3 linked regions of the Ovis aries genome follow. The protein of the gene in region 1 purifies or fractionates together with the protein of each later gene. This does not show direct contact. Links are inferred from orthologs where the notes say so. Each region holds a gene or a part of one and is shown in the gene's direction. Other genes may lie near its edges. The genes, in order: DGCR8, SRPK2 and USP36.

Region 1 (6,060 bases):
CCGTCTCTCCTGACACCTGCATGTCCGTCTCCAGCCCCGGCCTCCCTTCTGACAGCTGCACGCTTCCGGCTGCCTCTTCCACACCTCCACGTGTTACTTTGGTGCCAAGTAGCCGTGTCTAAACCTAGGCTATGATCTTCACCCGCCCGAACACTCCCCACGCTGCCTTCACCACCTCTGCGCGCGACACCTCTGTCCCTGAGTGTGGAGTCTCCTCGGCCTCCATGCACTCCTCAGGGCAGTTTCTCACCACCTCCACCTTGACATGCTGGTCCAGGCTGCCTGGTGAGCCTCTTTGTTTGTTTCTTTGCTCTCACCCTCGTGCCTCCTATTATCTACTCACTTAGGGATTTTCAGGACACAGAGCTGTTCTTTTCAACCGTAAGTCTAATACCAAGGCAGTACAGACTGGAGCTACCTTTCCTGGGTGGTAAAGCGCTCCACCACCTTCTCGCTGTGTGACCTTGACCAAGTTGCTTGCCGTCTCTGTCCCTAACCTTTTTCTCACGGTGCTGTGTGAGCACTGGTGTGACAGTGCGTGAGGTGCTTAGAGCAGGGCCTGCCCGAGGGCTGGGGCGACCGCTGACCTTGGGCCGTGTGACCTCGCCGCTCGGACCCTCCCGTCCAGGGGCCTGTCTCCGCTTGCCTTCAGTGCCCTGGCCTCTTCCCGCGGGCACACTGCTGCCATCCGCCACCCCGTGCTCCCACCCCGGGGCCTTTGCTCTTCTCGGTGTTGCCTGGAATATCCCCTCCTCCACCTTCAGGGGGTGTTGGCTGTGAGGCCTGTGCTGCCCACCCTTTCCTCAGCTCCTTGCTTTGCTTTCTCTTGAGCGCGTCTCAGTTTTTCTTAGTGGTTACTTGTCCGTCTCTCTGCTAATGTGTGAGCTCTGGGGCTGGGGATTGTGTCTGCCTCCGGTCCTCGGCATCTGCAGTGTTCTGTGTGCGCCCCGTGGAAGGCGTTGACGGGTGCAGATAGCAAACAGGGAAGGTCAGGAGCGTGCTCGGGACAGCCTGCAGCGGAGCCCTCAGCGCACTGCCGCCCCCGGGGCCCGGCGGCTCCCCAAGCTCCGAGGACCCCTCGCTGCGGCTCCCAGTCTGCACTCTGGGCACCTCTTCAAGGCCTCCCTTCAGGTTCATCGTTACCATCTTGGCTCTGTGCTTCTGCACTGAGCTTCTCAGGCTCCGAGCGTGGCCGGAGGTGTCCCCGTCTCTGCACGTCTCTTCGTTTTAGCCTTTGTGGCCTCCAGGATCGCGCGTGGGCTCTTGCTGGGGCCTCTGCAAACCTGCCTGGCGCCCAGGGCTTTGGTCCTGGTCGTGTCTGTGTCCTGTAGTGCTGGGCGTGCCGGCCTGCCTGTCTGAAATGAGCTTTCTTGGAGCCAGGAGACTGGCCTCGCCCCGCTCGGCGGTCCTCGTGCGTGTCCGGTGCCGCCTCAGTGGCCTCCCGGCTCCGCGTCCGTCCCCACCCGTGTGCCCTGTTTCCTTGGTCCTTAGCACTTTTGGCAGACGTGCCTGCGGGGGAGGTCTTGTGTTCGGAAACATGAGGACACCTTGGGACCCGGGAAGTAGAAGACAGGTCAGTGGCTGCTGCCCTCTCGCTCATGCTGACACCCCGTCAGAGTAGGTGGTCAGTGAACAGTCGTCGGTGGGTCGGTCGCCCCGGACAAGCCTCTGTCTTTTGTGTCCTGTTCCCCCACTGCAGCCTCTCAAACATGTGGTGTCTGCTGTTTCCTGTCTGTCTGCAGCCCGCAAGCCGCCCCGCGGGGTGTGGGCACGCATGTGTGTCTGCATCCACGTGCATGGCATGCTCGTGCGTGTGTCTGCACGGTGTGGGGTGCGTGTGTGCACGTGTGTGCGTGTGTGCACGTGTTCTGCTGTGCTGGGACCTCCCTGCCGCGGCCCTGTGTTTGGGCGTCCCGCCTCGCCTTCTCAGCCTGGTGTCTTCCCTCTGGCGTGGACTCCCCAGGGCTGCGTCCCCAGCCCTTGTCTTGGTCTGCCCTCGCTCTCTGGGTGGCCTCCCCTGTGGATTGGGTGACCGCCTGGCCGATGTGTCCTGGTGGCCTTGGCCCTGTTGGCCGGGCCTGCCCAGAGGCTCCGAGCACCCTCCTCTGTGGGCCCTGCCTGTGTCCCCTGGGGAGAGGCCCTGTGGGTCTTCGGGGCTACCTCGTCCCGCTCTCCGCCTCCACCGCTCGGCAGTGTGGTCAGTTCTGTGTCCGCTCTTCTCGTGGGTGTGGGCCTCCCTTCTGCGTAGGGACTGAACTGTGGCCTGAGGGTCCCTTCACCCTGGGCCTCCCTGCTGCCCCAGCATGGAGCCAGGCTCCAAGCGGCTGCCAGGACCCCCGTGCCTGGGCTCAGCTGGCCCCCGTGGCCCCTCCCTGCCCGCCTGGCCGGGCTTCGTCCCCGTGGCTCCCAGCGCTCCTCCTGGGAGCAGAGCCATGCCCAGCCCGCTGCATCACTGCCCCTGCCCCCGTGCCCTGGGGTCCCTGGGGGCGGAGCCCCGGGCGCGCCTCTGAGGCCGTAGTGCCGCAGAGCTGAGTGGAGGGCCGCCTGCTTGCCCTCTGACTGACCGGCCCGAGCAGGTGAGTGGACCCCCGTCACTGGTGCTAGATGGAAGCCACACGCCCCCGTGTGCTGTGGGAGGTTGGCCGCGTGAGCCGAGCCAGGGGAGCGCCGCGGTGCAGCGTAGTGGAGGAGTTTCGGTTTTTTTAATCCTTTTTGACCCTAAGTATAATATGGTTTTTGTGTTTCTGAAGTTGGAAATACAGTGGACAGCTAGCAAAATACTTGACTCTGGACTTAAGTTATCATTCAGGCTCTGAAGAAGGGAGTCAGGCTTGCCTGTTCTGGAGCGTGGAAGGCGCCCTCCTCGGGCGGCGGCACTGGACTCTGGGTGCCGGGGGGCGGGGGCCTCGGCCGCTGTGTGACGGCACCTTTGCGTCTCTTGCAGGTGGAGGAGGACGGGTGCCCCTCGGCTCGAGGACAGACGCGCGCGGCCGCCGGTCACTAAGCTGAGTGCATTGTGATTTCCAATAATTGAGGCAGTGGTTCTGAAAGCTGTCTACATTAATGAAAAGAGCAATGTGGCCAGCTGGGCTAAGCCGCCAGCGCGCGCAGCGCGGGCAGACGCACCCGGGTCTCGGCGGACTTGTGCATGCTAGCTGTCTAGAGTTATGTCAGGTTCTTAAAAGCGCTGGTCTTTTAAAGTAGTCCTAACCACTGTACCATGGAGACATGTGGGAGCCCCTCTCCTCTCCCGCGCGAGCCCGCAGGAGGAGTGGCGACGGAGGACCGAGCGCGCCCCCTCCGCGCGCTGCCCCGTGGACAGTCTCCACCACCTCCCCTGCAAACGTCCAGTGATGCAGACCTAATGGACGTTGGCTCTGGTGGTGATGGACAGGCCGAGCCCCCTGCCGAGGACCCGCTCACCTTCTGCGGAGCTTCTCTTCTCTCCAAAGGATCCTCCTCTAAGGCCCGCCTCCTCGTAGACCCGAACTGTAGTGGCCACAGCCCGCGCACAGCGCGGCACGCACCTGCGGTCCGGAAGTTCTCCCCTGACCTTAAGTTGCTTAAGGATGTAAAGATTAGCGTGAGCTTTACGGAGAGCTGCAGGAGTGAGGACAGGAAGGTGCTGTACACGGGAGCGGAGCGCGACGTGCGGGCAGAGTGTGGCCTGGCCCTCAGCCCTGTCAGTGGGGACGTGCATGCTGGCCCCTTTGGCGGGAGTGTGGGGAACGGGGTAGGCGCAGGGGGTGAGAGCGCGGGTAAGAGGGACGAGGAGCATGAGCTGGATCAGGAAAGGAGAGTGGAGTACGCAGTGCTCGATGAGTTAGAAGACTTTACTGACAATGTGGAGCTAGATGAAGAAGGCGCAGGCGGGTTCACGGCTAAAGCGATCGTGCAGAGAGACAGAGTGGACGAAGAGGCCTTGAATTTCTCCTACGAGGTATGTCGGCGTCCCCTCCTTTGGAGCACTCTTAGCAAAACCCAGAGAGAGGCGTTTGGGAGCTGCAGCATCTCTGGGAAGCCCGCGCTGCAACGTAGCCGAGGAAAAAACCCGCAGGAGGCGGGAAGGTCTACGCGGAGAGAGAGCCGTTAGGCATCCCGGGGTCCCAGCTCTGCTAACACAGTTTGGGTGACAGGTCTGCCTTGTGCCCTTGTCTCAGCCGACTTGGAAGGATCTGCTGGTCACGAGCGTGTGCTTCGGCTGGCCGTGTCACCCTCTTTGCTTTTCAGGTGCTAGCGCACCCGGAGGCGCACCTAGGCCCCTGAGACCGCCTCCTCTCTGCGTTGCCGCTGGCGCCTGCCCACGGGCGGGAGTGCGGTGCCAGGGGCCGCGGGCTCTGAACGGCGTGTCTTGCAGGACGATTTTGACAACGATGTCGACGCTCTTCTGGAAGAGGGCCTCTGTGCTCCCAAGAAGAGGCGCACGGAGGAGAGATACGGAGACAGCGACCACCCGTCGGACGGGGAGACGAGCGTGCAGCCGATGATGACCAAGATTAAGACCGTTCTCAAGAGTGAGTCGGGCCGGGAAGCAGCAAGGCGCCTGGGAGAGCGCTCAGGCTGCCGGGAGGCGGTCTGGGCGGCTGTGTGCGTCTGCAGGCAGGAGGGTCCCGTCGGGGCCGGCAGCTTGAAGCGTGAGGACACAGCCTGTGTACTGCCAGGGTGCGGGGAGAGGGCGCCGGGGCGTGGAGGCCATGGACGGGGCGGTGCTGAGCGTAGGGGCTGCTCGCGGCCCCCGTCTGAGTTCAGGGCTCTGTGCCGAGTGCTGGGGAAACCACTGGAAGCAGGCAGGACTCATTCCACAGTCTGCTGTGAAAGCACGACCCGTGGCCCCGTGTGGACAGAGATGGAGGGGTCACGGGTATACCGGGAAGAGCGGTTGGGGTGCTCAGAGCCGCCCCGTGCGGCCACCTGCTGACACGGGGCCCTCTCGGGCCCCCTTTTTCTGTCTTGGCCTGGGGGTGCCTCTTGGTGTCGGGTGGGCGGCAGGAAGGGGCTGGAGGGACTCGGGCACGCAGGTGATGCCTTCTGCTGAGCACCACGCAGGTGGCCAGCATGACAGGAACCGCGGCGTGGCCGGCGCGCCGTTTCCCGGCCGCAGAGCGGGCCCGTCGGCAGGGCCGGGCGCGTGTCTGCCGCCTGCGCGCTGGTCTGCTCGCGGTGACAACACGCCTCCTCCCCCTTGGTTACCCGGGGCTGGTTGCAGGCAGCTCCTGGCCCAGCCTGTGGGGCAGGGGTGCCCGAGGGGGCCTGTGCGTGCCCAGCCTTGCCTGCCGTCCCAGGGCCGTCCTGACGCTGGCGGTCGCTTGGCGTCAGCTGCGTGCGGGTGTCAGGCCTGGCACGAGGGAGTCGTTCCGTTTCCACAAGAGCTGGTGGGGTTGTTTTCATCTCGTCCGTGTGTTTTTTTAGATTCCACGTGGCATTTCACTTTTGTTTCTGAGCTTTTCACTTGCTCCCAATACTGGTAAGAAAAGCAAGCTGTCCTTGAGCCTTGGTCCTGTGCATCTCCCAGCAGCAGGCCTGTCCGTGGCAGCTCGGGACAGTGCAGGCTTGCCACCGGGTCACAGGGAGCAGTGACCCACAGTCTGCGGTTCCTAGCGGAGCCTACCCAGCCCCTGTGGCTGTACCCGCGGGAGGCGGGCAGAGAGGCAGCGTCAGGGCGGCAGAGCTGCAGCGAGGCCGTGTGTCTTGCGGAGCGCTGCTCAGGGCTCTGTGGTGTGTCCGGGGACTAGAGCAGGTGAGGAGGGTCTTGGCGCCCTTGGGTCCCAGAGGCTCGGGCCCAGCACTCAGAGGAGTGGGCTTGCAGGCGGGGCTGGGCTCTCCTGGTGGGGGTGGGCCATCCCCACCCTGCTCAGAGCTTTCCTGTAAGGCGGGCTCCAGCGTGCTGCTGTTTCCGCCCGGGGGCAGACTGTGACTGTCCTGATGGCGCCCGCGCGGCCGTGACCGTAACTGTTCTTGCCCCGCGCAGGCCGCGGCCGCCCGCCGACGGAGCCGCTGCCCGACGGCTGGATCATGACGTTCCACAACTCCGGAGTGCCCGTGTACCTGCACCGGGAGTCA
Region 2 (6,060 bases), on another chromosome or scaffold:
ACTCTGCTTTTAATTGGATATACCTTTCCCTCTTTCATTTTTCCCTTCTCTTTGTTCTTCTGCTGTTTGTAAAGCCTCCTCAAATAACTGCTTTGCCGTCTTGCTTTTCTTTTTCTTTGGGATGGTTTTGTTCACCGCCTCCTGTACAATACTATGGACCTCTGTCCATAGTTCTTCAGACACACTGTCATATAGATCTAATTCCTTGAATATACTTGTTACCTCTACTGCAAATTCATGCAGGATTTGATTTAAGTCATACCTGCTGGCCTAATGTATTTCTCAGTTTTCTTTAGTTTAAACCTGAACTTTGCTATCATGATCTAAGCCACAGTCAGCTCCAGGGCTTGTTTTTGCTGACTATATACAGCTTCTCCATCTTCAACTACGAAGAAGGGAATCGGTTTGATTTCAGTATTGACCATTTGGTGATGTCTACATGTAAAGTTGTCTCTTGTGTTGTTGAAACAGAGTATTTGCTATGACTAATGCAGAATTCAGTTAGCCTTTGTTTGCCCTGCTTTATTTTTTGTTCTCTAAGGCCAAATTTGCCTATTACTCCAGGTATATCTTGACTTCCTACTTTTGCATTCGAATCCCCATTGATGCATAGAGTATCTCTTTTAGGTGTTAGTTCTAGGAGGTCTTCTAGGTCTTCATGGAACTGATCAATTTCAGTTTCTTCAGCATCGGTGGAATGGGCATAGACTTGAATTACTGTGAGGTTGAATGGCTTGCCTTGGAAACGAACCAAGATCATTCTATCATTTTTGAGGTTGCACCCAAGTCCTGCATTTCAGACTCATTTGTTGATTATGAGGGTTACTCTGTTTCTTCTATGGGGTTCTTGTCCACAGTAGTAAATATAATGGTCATCTGAATTAAATTCGTCCATTCCCGTCCATTTTAGTTTGCTGATTCCTAGGATGTCATTGTTTATTCTTACCATCCCCTGCTTGATCACTCACAACTCACCTTGATTCATGGACCTAACATTCCAGGTTCCTATGCAGTACTGTTCTTTGCAGCACCGGATTTTACTTTTGACAACCAGACACATCCACAACCGAGCGTTGTATCCACTTTAGCCCAGCCACTTTATTCATTCTATTAGTACTTCTCCTCCACTCTTCCCCAGTCGCATATGGGACACCTTAGACCTGGGGGACTCATCTTTTGGTGCCATATCTTTTTGACCTTTTTTAATAGTTTGTGAAGGTTCTCATGGCAGGTATAACTGGGGTGGTTTGCCAGTCCCTCCTCTAGTGGATCACATTTTGTCAGAACTCTCTGCTATGATGTGTCTGTCTTGGGTGGCCCTGCATGGCATAGCTCAGAGCTTCATTGAGTTATGCAAGCCCCTTCGCCACAACAAGGCAGTGATCCATGAAAGGGATTAAATATCTGAAACCTTAAATTCTTACTGAGAACACTTTGCTTGTCTCAAGTGTCTCATTTTCATTGAAATTCATTTTAACACATTTGGATACTGGATCATATTAACTCTTACCTAAGCAGCTTCACACACAGTGAAACAACCTAAGAACTACGAAAGAACTAAGGTGGAAAGTTAGGAACAACTTGTTCATGAGATGGTAGTGAAAGATATTTTTGGAAAGATGCTGACATTTTAACTTTGAGTTAATATTTGATGATTGAAGTGAAATTTTAGTTGAAATAATTAAAAATAGTTTAAACTTTCTAAAAGTCTTATTCCTTTTACTTCCACAGACGGGAAGTCATCAGTGTACTTGTCCATTAATTTCTTGTACTTCTCAGAATTTCTCTTACTACTCATATATAAGAACTCCATGTGATACTTCAGTTTGCCCAAAGAAGATGCATGAATGCCAGTGAATATATACAGGCTCATTGAATTGTGTTCCCTTCAGAATTATAACCTTATTCTCTATGGAAACATATAATGCTATGTTTCGTACTGTTGGTATTTGGACATTTTAAACATAATTTAAACATATTCTAGTTGAAGTATTATCTAAAACATTAAATATTAATTTTAAGGTAAAGTCAAAGCCTCGTGGAGATGGGGAACTTTGTTTATTGCTGTGTATCAAACATCTATAAGCATATGCAGCCTGTTATAGGAGCTCAACTGATGCTCAGTCAGTGAAGTCATGTGAAAGTATTTCCAAGGAAAAGTTTTTAAAATGAATATGAGGATTTTCATCTTGGTTAAGAGACTCATGTTCCTTCTACTTTCCTTGCGAAATCTGTGCCTTCACTTACTAATGTTTTGTCATCTTAAGATTGTTTGGGCTTCCCTGGTATTGGCTCAGCTGCTAAAGAATCTGCCTGCAGAGCAGGAGAACTGGGTTGGATCCCTGGGTTGGGAAGATCTCCTGGAGAAAGGCTACCCACTCCAGTATTCTGGCCTGGAGAATTCCATGGACTGTATAGTCCATGGGGTCACAAAGAGTCGAACACGACTGAGGGACTTCTACTTTCAAGATTGTTTAGCCAGAAACTGAAGGTAGACAGAAGCATTGGGTTTTTGCTGAGAACTTTTCCGAGTTGTTCAGTATTAGATATCTTCTGCTTGTCTTTTCCTCACTTCCTTGTCTAATGTGATCAAGACACCAAATGACTTAAAATGTTTGAATGAAGATGTTTATTAAATGCAAATGTTTATTGAGCATGTAGAATTTGTAATATATGGGAACATGAACTGTATTTTAAAATATTTTTTTTCCTTATGAAAAGAAAGAATTCCCCTCTTATGGAAATAATTCCAGAAAAACTTTGGCCTGGCATTTAGGTCACCATACTCTGTAATTTTTGCTATATATATATTTACACAGACACACACACATGGTAAGTATGTGAGTATCTTGGTTTAGCAGTTTCTTTTAAATCAGTACTATATAGTTTATAGCCTGGGTACCAAAGCTACCTAATTCTCCTTTCCTACAATATTAGAAATGTACAGACATCATTAGCCATTATGGGAATGCATATCAATGAGATACACACTTCACACCCACAAGAGTGACTAAAATGAAAAGACAGATAACAAGTATTGATCATCCGGAAAAAACTGTAATCCTTGCACATTGCTGATGGGAATGTAAAATGATGCAGCCATAGATAGGATAAAACAGCTTGGCAGTTTATTGAAAGACTAAAGATAGAGTTACAGTATGACCCAATAATTGTGCTACTAAGAAAAATAAAGACATGTCTACATAGAAACTTGTACATGAATGTTTATAGCAATATATTTATAGTAGCCATAAAATGGAAAGAACTCAAATGTTCATCATTGAATGACTAAACAAAATGTATTTTCAGTGGAAAATTATTTGGCATCTAAAAAAAATGAGGTATTGCTATGTGCTACACATGGATGAACCTTGAAAGTATTGGGCCAGGTACAAAAGACCACTCTGTATCATTCCACTTACATAAAATGTCCAAAGCCAGGAAAGTAGATTAGTGGTTGCTTAGGGCTAGAGGAGTTGGAAGGAGATGGGGAGTGACTGCTAATGGGTGCAGTGTTTCGTCTTTGTGTGATGAACATGTTCTAAATTATATAGTGATGACCGTTGCACATCTAAAAACCATTCTATTGTACACTTAAAAGGTTGAATTGAAAAAAAAAGGGTGAATTGTGTGTCATGTAAATTATATCTCACCAAAGTTGTTATTTTAATAAGCATATGTTTAAATGCATTTTCTTATATGAGCATAAATTATCTCCAGAATGATATACACTGGTTGCTTATGGGAAGGAGCTGGGTTCCTGTCGGGCCCAAGTTCCTATTGTGCCTTGTAATGACTGTAACTATTTTACAAATAAATGTTGAATAATAGAAGTATTAATAACTCCTTCCTGATTTTATGTGATCAGGTCCTTCAGGGGTTAGATTATCTCCACAGTAAGTGCAAGATCATTCATACTGACATAAAGCCAGAAAACATCTTGATGTGTGTGGACGATGCATATGTGAGAAGAATGGCAGCCGAGGCCACCGAGTGGCAGAAAGCGGGCGCTCCTCCTCCTTCAGGGTCTGCAGGTGAGAGGCTGGGCCAGCTTTGTGTCAGTCTGTGTAGGGGCATTGAGAGCCTGCAAAGTTGTTCATAGGAAGCAGTTGAGTTAAACGTGTACATGTTAGGAACTTGCATAAGAGCCCGATGACTGGTAATAATTAGACCTTTTTCTTGAGAAGGAAGATGCCCCAGTTAAGTCGTACTTTAATATTTGAATTACTTAGCTTTGTCCTCCCTTAAAAGGTCACTGAATTCTTCTTACCTGCTGCTTCATTTTCATTTGAACTCTGTCTGCGTCGGCCACTTCTCTACAAAGGAGTGTATAGTAACAGGTTTCCTGTAGCCAACCTACAATCGTCAGCATGCTTCCTTGTCTCCATTGAGCATAGTTACATCAGTGTAACTGGTGCACTTAAAATTAGTTACAAGAACTTCAGGGTGAAAGAAGATCAACTGACTTGAGCATTGGTGTATGAAGTTTTATTTCTGGTTTTCACAAGGTGTCAAGGTGGCCATGAAGTGTGGATGATGCTTTCATCCTGTCTGCACGTGCTTTCTGCCCTAGTGTGTTGTCAGGTAGCACAGGGACTGCAGAGTGAAAGCCCTCAAACTGAGGCTTTTGGCAGATGAACCACTTATGAATCTTGTTTTCTACCATCAGGTTGCTGTTTAGATAATGGAACCATAGTCTGTGAAGCTTTTGACATTGGCCAAGTCTGTTCATGTCATTTCTAGACTATTTGTAGTAGTATTGGATCTATTTTAGTTGTATGAACTTGTGAAATAGTTTTCAAACAGAGATGTGGAAGTTAATTGTTCATTTCTTTGTCTATAAACAAGTTGGGTTTTGTCACTCTTCTCCATTTTTCTTACCAGTCAGTGTTTTGTGATTGTGTGTTTTTGAAATGAATAAGTGTTTAATTTCAGGTTAATAAGAGAAATGACTCCATGTGAACCACTATGGCTTTGCTTTTTAAGAGCCAATCATTTGTTTGAGTTGGATAAACTTTCTTTAGGACTCTATGATTAACAAGCTTTAATATTTAAAGCTGTTTAAAGTTGTTTAAGTTGCATAGCCATTAAAAGGCAGTAGTTATTTCATTTTACAGTTCAGATTACCTACAAAAAGATAAGTATCTGTTTCACTCTAAATGTTCACTTTATTTTGTTTTGTTTTTAGTGAGTACCGCTCCACAGCAAAAGCCTGTAAGTACTTACATATATACTTCTATTACCTCCTTGTCAAAAGTGACTAGTCATTACTGAACTTTTCTAATTGTAACATTAGTTTTTGTTTCTTTCTGCAACAACTTTTTTTTAAGGGTTGTTTGAGGGAATTAGTTTTACTTTTTTTGTTGTTGTTGTTCCTTTCTCAGTCATAGATGTTGTCATGTATTTTAGCGTAAAAGACAGCCATATTTATAAATGCTGCGTATACTTGAATATGCAAGACAATATTTTGAAAAAGTGAAGTGATTTTTAGAGGTGGGATAATTAGAGCTGTCCCAAATTCTGTATTTTCCTCGTGTACTTTCTGGAGTGCTGTTGGCTGAGTCTGATAAAATGTGAGGTTATAGAGATAGGGTTTTAAGTGTGATTATTCCACAGACACTTTCTATTATTTCTGATTTGCCTCTAAGTTACCTGTTTTTTCTGAAGCTGCTGTTCTAATTTTTTTCCAGCTAGTAGTTAAATGTGAAAGAGCATTATCTGTGTGGTCCTATCAAAATTCCAAGTGTGAACAAATGAAGCAGGCTGTTTGGAATTAAATTCTAGATCTAAACCTGGTTTAGGCTTGGTTCCAGTTAAGCATAGAATATATATATATCTCTCAAGTTGATGGGTCACCTGCAAGTTTTAAAGGTCTTTATGACCCGAAAGCCCTCGGAAGGAAATGTGCAGAACTCCAGAGTGCAGCCAGCAACCCTCAGCCTGCAGTGGGAGTCCCAGCAGGAGGAGGAGCTGTAAGAATTCTGCCGCCTGGCCTGCTGAGCTCTGCCGTGGCTTGAGCAGTTTGCTTTGATTATTGGTTCTGTGAAAGACTGGAGGATC
Region 3 (6,060 bases), on another chromosome or scaffold:
AAGTGTATCTTGTAGGTGTGTGCCTTAGAGAAACCCACACGCATACAGGAGGTGGGTACGGGACCATTCACTCACCCCAGCGTTGTGACTGCAGGAAGAGGGAGGGGTTGACGTGAGTGAGCAGGGGGCTGTGTGGATGGACTGTGGTCTGGAGGGAGGGCTAAAGGGCAGCTTGGTACAGTTCATAGAAAGCGAGCTTAAACGTGCAGCCGCAGTATACTGGTGAGTGCCACGTGTGGAGTAGGGTGAACCCATGACTAGGAACAGCGCTGACCAGTTAGGGTGCGGGTCCCTGCTGCCAGAGGACAAAGGACATGGGGAGCCGGGGTGTGAGAGGCTGAGAGGGGAGTTCAGCCGTCATACCTGTGCTTGACTTACAAAGCGCCTGAAACGGTGTCGTCGTCTTTGCTCTTCTCTTTGTCTTTAAGATAGTTCACAATTAGAAGTGTAGCTAGAATCTGCCTGCCCGTGCAGGAGACGGAAGACACGCAGGTTCACTCCCGGAGCCAGGAACAGCCTCTGGAGGAAGAAATGGCAACCCACCCCAGTACTCTTGCCTGGGAAATCCCTTGGACGGAGGAGCGGGCTACAGTCCAGGGGGTCGCAAAGAGTCAGACACGACTGAGCGTGCACACACACACAGAAGTGTAGCACTGTCTAGCCTAACGCCTGGGGGAGCAAATAGCTTATCCCCAGCAGGGGGCTGGCCCAGCCTCGGGGGCACCATCTGGCCAGCAACCGACTCGTCCCGCCTCCATGTAGGTGTCCCCTGGGGCAGCAGAGCCGCAGAGTCGGGGCCTGGGGTCTCCCCGGAGCTGGCTGAGCCCTGGTGTCTCCTGGGAGCAGCAGAGCAGAGGTTCCCATGCTGAAGAGCAAGTGAAGGGGTGTCTGTCGGGAAGCCTGAAATGTTCTCTGCCATTGACCATGTGATGCGATTTGCAGGTCAGAGGACACGTTCTAAACCGAGCTTGGCAGCTCACGCTCCTTGGGCTGGGTCTCAGGAGAGACGGGTTCCTGGTGCCGCCAGCCTTGCAGGGCTTGGGCGGGCTGGGGGCCTCTGCTCTCTGCCAGCCAGGAGGCCGTGACGTCAGCTCTCCTGGGAATTCCCAGAGCCCTACCGTGACCGCGTGTCCACGCCCGCAGGTCACCAGGGCAGCTTCTGCATGCTGTGTGTCATGCAGAACCACATCATCCAGGCCTTCGCCAACAGCGGCAACGCCATCAAGCCCGTGTCCTTCATCCGGGACCTGCGAAGTAAGAGTGGCTTCCTCCTCGGGAGGGCGGCATTGCCGGGGGGTGCTGGGGGTTGGGGGAGGCGGGAGTGGGGTTGAGCCTGGAGGCCTCAGGCACAGAGTGGAGCAGACTAAAGCTGGCCCTGGGGCCGGATGGACGTGGGGCATGCATGCCAGCCAGTGGTGACCCGCACCCCTGGCCCCTTCCCCGTGATCCTGCAGGCTCAGCCAGGCCAGGGCTGTGTGTTTTGGGCGGGGAGGTGGGTGAGGAAGTGCTGCGAGGCCTTTTCTCAGCACCGGAGGAACCAGGGCCCATGTGCTGTGAAAGTCAGATTTCTCTTTTGCTTGGCAGAGGTGGGCCCTTAGTCTCATTGCTGTTGCTGTATTTCAGGTATTTACGTATTTATTGGGCTGCACTGGGTCTTCGAGGCTGCTCGCAGGTTTTCTCAAGTTGTGGCGAGTGGGAGCTACTCTGGTTGTGGCCTGTGGGCTTCTCCTTGCAGTGGCTTCCCGTTGCTGAGCACGGGCTCTAGGGCGCACGAGCCGCAGTAGTTGGGGCCCGCAGGCTCTAGAGATCAGGCTCAGTTGTTGCGGCGCTTGCGCTTAGTTGCCCGTGGTACGTGGGATCTTTCTGGACCAGGGATTGAACCTGTGTCCCCCACGTTGGCAGGCAGATTTTTAACCACTGGACCACCAGGGAAGCCCACCCATTGGTTTTTGAAACCTGTGTATATTGTATTGGGCCAACATGGTGGTGATCTGCCATGGCCTGTATTGGCTCCTGGAAAGCCGGCTTAGTTAGTTAGCGGAGCTCATATCCTTACTGCTGGGCATCCATTCGTGCTTTCTGTTACACGTAGAGGGTCTCACTGGGAAGATAACTGCCGTCAGGGAGGTGCCTGGGACATAGGGCGTCACGCAGGGCTCTGTTTCCTCACTTGGGTTTAGTCCTGGGTCCTCTAAGAGATGGCCATGAGACCAGTGGGAATGGGACGTTCGAAGAGAAGGCGGGGGCTCCTCTCTGCTGGCCTGACGCCTCTTCCTTCCCTCCTTAGAGATCGCCCGGCACTTCCGCTTTGGAAACCAGGAGGACGCACACGAGTTTCTGCGGTACACCATCGACGCCATGCAGAAGGCCTGCCTGAGCGGCTGTGCCAAGTACGTGCTCCCCTCCCCACAAGCTGCCTCTCTGGACGTCCACACTGGGCCCCTGAGCGGTCCAGCAGCGGGTCCACCGCTCTCCCGGAAGGGGCCTCTCCTGCTGCAGGTCAGGTGGCGGCGTCTCTGCCCCAGCAGCTTGCAGAGGGACAGGCTCTAATAGATCTCTCCAAGGACCTTCCACCGCTGTCAGGGGCTCTCCCCGTCTTTTGAAACCGCCTTGTCATTTCGTTCCCAAGGATGGGGCAGTGGGAAGCGTAATGTCTTTGGGCAAGAACTTGAAAGTCTGCAGGAAAACTCAAGGGTAAGGAGATGATGATTTTTGAGGTTCGCTCCGCCGAAATTTGAGGGCATAGACCAGTGTTCCCTTTTGTGAAACAGCTGCTGCTAGAATGTTTTTGTATCATTCTTGGGTTTGTGGGTTCAATTGAGAGAAAGCAGGCAGGAAGTGCTGCCTGGGCTTGGAATGGAACTGAGTCCTGGACTCTGAAGTATGGCTGAGGAGTCATGCCTGGAATGCCCTTCACGAAGGTTAAGTTGAGTTGTAGCCGTGAGGATGGGAAACCTCTGTTTCAGAGGATGAGACTGATGGAGTTGAACCTGGTCTGTCATCGGTGACCTCGCCCTGGCTGGGAAGTGACCCTCCCCTCGGGAAAACACGCTGGCATTGCTTTTGCTGGTGTTAGAGCAGCAAAAGCTCTTTTCCCTTTAATTCCTGGGAGTGTTTCTTGTGTATTTGATGGTACGGCTCCCTTTCTGGGTGTTGGGCTGTTGGTAGTCTCGCATCTCAGCTGTCCCCGCCACACTCACACTCACACACACACACACACACAGCCCGTGTTCCCCTTTCCTGTGCCCCTCAGTCCTTCCCCCATGGGCAGCTCATTTCTTTTCCCCGAGTTCAGTGAACTTTCTCTCCTTTTGGCCATGTTATGTTAGTTTTAAGGCTTGTTCACAGTGGTCTTCCGTCTCCCCATGCACCCGTTTGGGGTCTTCAGTTCACCCCGGAGCTTTGGCACTGACTGTTCTGCTTCGAGCTGCCCCCAGGGGCTGGTTCTTATTTTGTACTGGCAGCACTGGTAGCTTTCGGATACTAACGGGGGTTTGGCGATTGGCCTGGTTCTTTCTTCAGGCGCCCCCTTCTGGCCGCGCAGCGAAGCACATGCTGGAGGGTGGGTGGCTCTCATCCAGACTCAGAAGGGGTGTGGCCTTGGTTTTTTTGTTGTTGTTTCTTGTTCAGGACACTCCTTTTTCCCCTTGCCCTGCCTCCCCCGCCCCGCAAGGAGCCTGTCTGCCTTGCTGCCCCCGGGGCTGCTTCCAGCCACATCCGGCTGCCCGGACTCCCAGGAGCCTCCCCTCATGGGAGGGGCCGTTTCCTCCCGACCTCGGTCTCGGGTGGAACGCTTGGTGGCAGTGTCTCGATGGCGTCTTGATCTGGCTCTGCTGTCCTGCCTCTGGGCAGCTGAATGTCTGCATTGTCCCTGCATCCCGGCTGGGCTGAGAGTATGTCCCTGTGTGGTCCTCCGGCCTCCTGTCCTGACGGCTCCTGTTGTCCTGGGGGCATCACCCAGAGGGTCTGGGTGTGTCTGAAGTTATGTCCCTGCCGGTTTTTGGACCTATGATGTCCCTTCTCTGATGAGTGCTGGTGACAGATGGTGGCAGTTGCTTTTTGTTTCCTAGTTTTGCATAGCAAAAGTCGGCTGACTCGGTGTTGGCCCCCGTGTGTTCTGGAGCTGTACTCCTTAGCCAGCTGCCCATGTGTGGGCAGCACAGCCATGAAGAGTTACATGGCCTGGACGGGCGGCTGAGACCAGGGTGCCCTGGCTCACTCTGCAGGGGGCAGGAAGGGGCCGCCTGCGGAGAGAGGAGCAGGGTTAGCAGCATGCGTGCGGCCTCCGGAAAGCGTGGTGCCCACGCGGGACTGAGGGCAGAGCTGGAGCGGGAGCAGGGGTCACTGAGGCAGGGTTGGCCTGCAGGTCCATCGGGCCTCTTGCTCCCGGTAGGAGGCAAGGCTGCCTGCTGAGAGGGCAGGAGGGCATCCCACAGGAGGTGGCTGCTCTATGGGAGATCTCTGGGCGGAGCCACCGCTGAGCGGGTGATGAAATGGGGCCTGGTGGGGTGCCTGCCTGTTTCTTGGCCCCGTCCTCCACCTGAAGGCCGTGGCCTTTCTCCAGGTTGGATCGTCAGACGCAGGCTACAACCCTGGTCCATCAGATTTTTGGAGGCTACCTCCGATCTCGGGGTAAGTGGAGAAACGTCCTGTGTCCCTTCTGGCCAGGGATTAGAGTATTAACCCGAAACGCTTCATTTCGGCCCCTAGGCTGACCTGCCAGGCCCCCGAGGCCTCCAGCCTGGGTCTGTGCCCCACAGCCCCACCTGCAGCCTTCCTGGGAAGGGGTTTGGAGGAGCAGAGTCTAGAGCCCGTAGACACGCTGGTGTTGCTTTTCCTTGGACTCCGTAGTTAATCAGATGTGGCCGCTGCCCTTGGGGTGGGGGTGAGTGTCCCTGGCCAGGCCAGCCAGGCATCTCAGGGTTTGCCCTCCTCTCCTCCTGAGCATCTCCCATCTCGGGGAGCTGGTGAGCTGGGAGCGTGCCTCCAGTTCTCGGACTTATAAACCTGGGCGACCTGGGGGTGGTGGCCCGGGGCCCTTCACCCACCCCACCGTTCCCTCGTTCTCTCGCAGTGAAGTGCTCCATGTGCAAGAGCGTCTCAGACACCTACGACCCCTACTTGGATGTGGCACTGGAAATCCGGGTACACACCTCATGCTGGTCGATGTTCATTTGCGTTAGGATGGGGAGGCCAGAGGGCAGAAAACCCAAAACGGGAAGACCGATCAGGGCATGTGATCCAAATAGATCAGGAAAGAGATACTTGGAATCCTCCATTTTTGTGTGTTTCATCTCAGCCATCTTCTCTGTGTTCCTTTTTCTTTTTCCGAAAAAAAAAGGGGTTAAAAAAAGGACAGTTTTGTGCCCTCAGATGTGAATAGCGACCCCACTGCACGCAGGGCTTGAGCAGGGAGGCCCGCATGGCGCGGGGAGCTTCCACACAAAGGGCACACCGTTCCGAGCAGCCTTCCTCTGTCCCCGCTCTGAGGCTGCTGGATCCAAGCTCACCTCAGCTTGAGGTTTGGATCAGACCCCCGTCGGCCGTGGTGAACCCCTGGGGCTGTGATCCTGGTCCACAGAGGAGTCACAGCCTGGTTCCCCGTTGCCTCTCTGATGGGATGCGCTGACTCCCAGAAGGCGGTAGCGAGCAGGCCAGTTCTTGGGCAAGTGAAGTGCCGTGATCTGCTGCCTCAGCCTGAAAAAGACCTTACATTTGGCATTTCTGGAGTCAGCCTTTTTCTTCCGCTGTTGACTGTACTCCCTGTTTCTGTCCTTCTCAGCAAGCTGCAAACATCGTGCGTGCTCTGGAACTTTTTGTGAAACCAGATGTCCTGAGCGGAGAGAATGCCTATATGTGTGCAAAGTAAGTTTCGGTTTGATTGTGGCCAAAAAGATCAAGCCAGCGAGCAAGGTAAAACACGTCACCTAACCTGACCCAGCTGCCGTCCCCTCCCTCGCCCTCGCAGGCGACCGCCGTCCACATTCTTGAGTGGTGTAATATGTCTTCGAACTAAAAGCCTCGAAACAGCACAGATGAAGAAATGGTCGTGGTTGTCCT

Evidence for each region.
Region 2: the proteins of DGCR8 (region 1) and SRPK2 purify together in Homo sapiens (affinity purification with mass spectrometry; 3 studies listed by BioGRID and IntAct, with this or other methods). This does not show direct contact. The link is inferred for Ovis aries from reciprocal best matches to the Homo sapiens genes DGCR8 and SRPK2.
Region 3: the proteins of DGCR8 (region 1) and USP36 purify together in Homo sapiens (affinity purification with western blotting; 3 studies listed by BioGRID, with this or other methods). This does not show direct contact. The link is inferred for Ovis aries from reciprocal best matches to the Homo sapiens genes DGCR8 and USP36.

What each region holds. Positions count from the first base shown.
Region 1 is NC_056070.1:73,001,802-73,007,861, forward strand, and holds part of DGCR8 (microprocessor complex subunit DGCR8), read left to right. Parts: exon of another isoform or gene 1-285; intron 286-1,491; 5' UTR 1,492-1,573; intron 1,574-2,944; 5' UTR 2,945-3,220; coding exon 3,221-3,940; intron 3,941-4,357; coding exon 4,358-4,514; intron 4,515-5,968; coding exon 5,969-6,060.
Region 2 is NC_056057.1:47,826,891-47,832,950, reverse strand, and holds part of SRPK2 (SRSF protein kinase 2), read left to right. Parts: exon of another isoform or gene 1-3,868; coding exon 3,869-4,034; intron 4,035-5,188; coding exon 5,189-5,214; intron 5,215-6,060. UniProt on the Homo sapiens protein: Serine/arginine-rich protein-specific kinase which specifically phosphorylates its substrates at serine residues located in regions rich in arginine/serine dipeptides, known as RS domains and is involved in the phosphorylation of SR splicing factors and the regulation of splicing.
Region 3 is NC_056064.1:52,871,202-52,877,261, forward strand, and holds part of USP36 (ubiquitin carboxyl-terminal hydrolase 36), read left to right. Parts: intron 1-1,143; coding exon 1,144-1,254; intron 1,255-2,287; coding exon 2,288-2,390; intron 2,391-4,564; coding exon 4,565-4,632; intron 4,633-5,074; coding exon 5,075-5,145; intron 5,146-5,782; coding exon 5,783-5,865; intron 5,866-6,060. UniProt on the Homo sapiens protein: Deubiquitinase essential for the regulation of nucleolar structure and function. Required for cell and organism viability.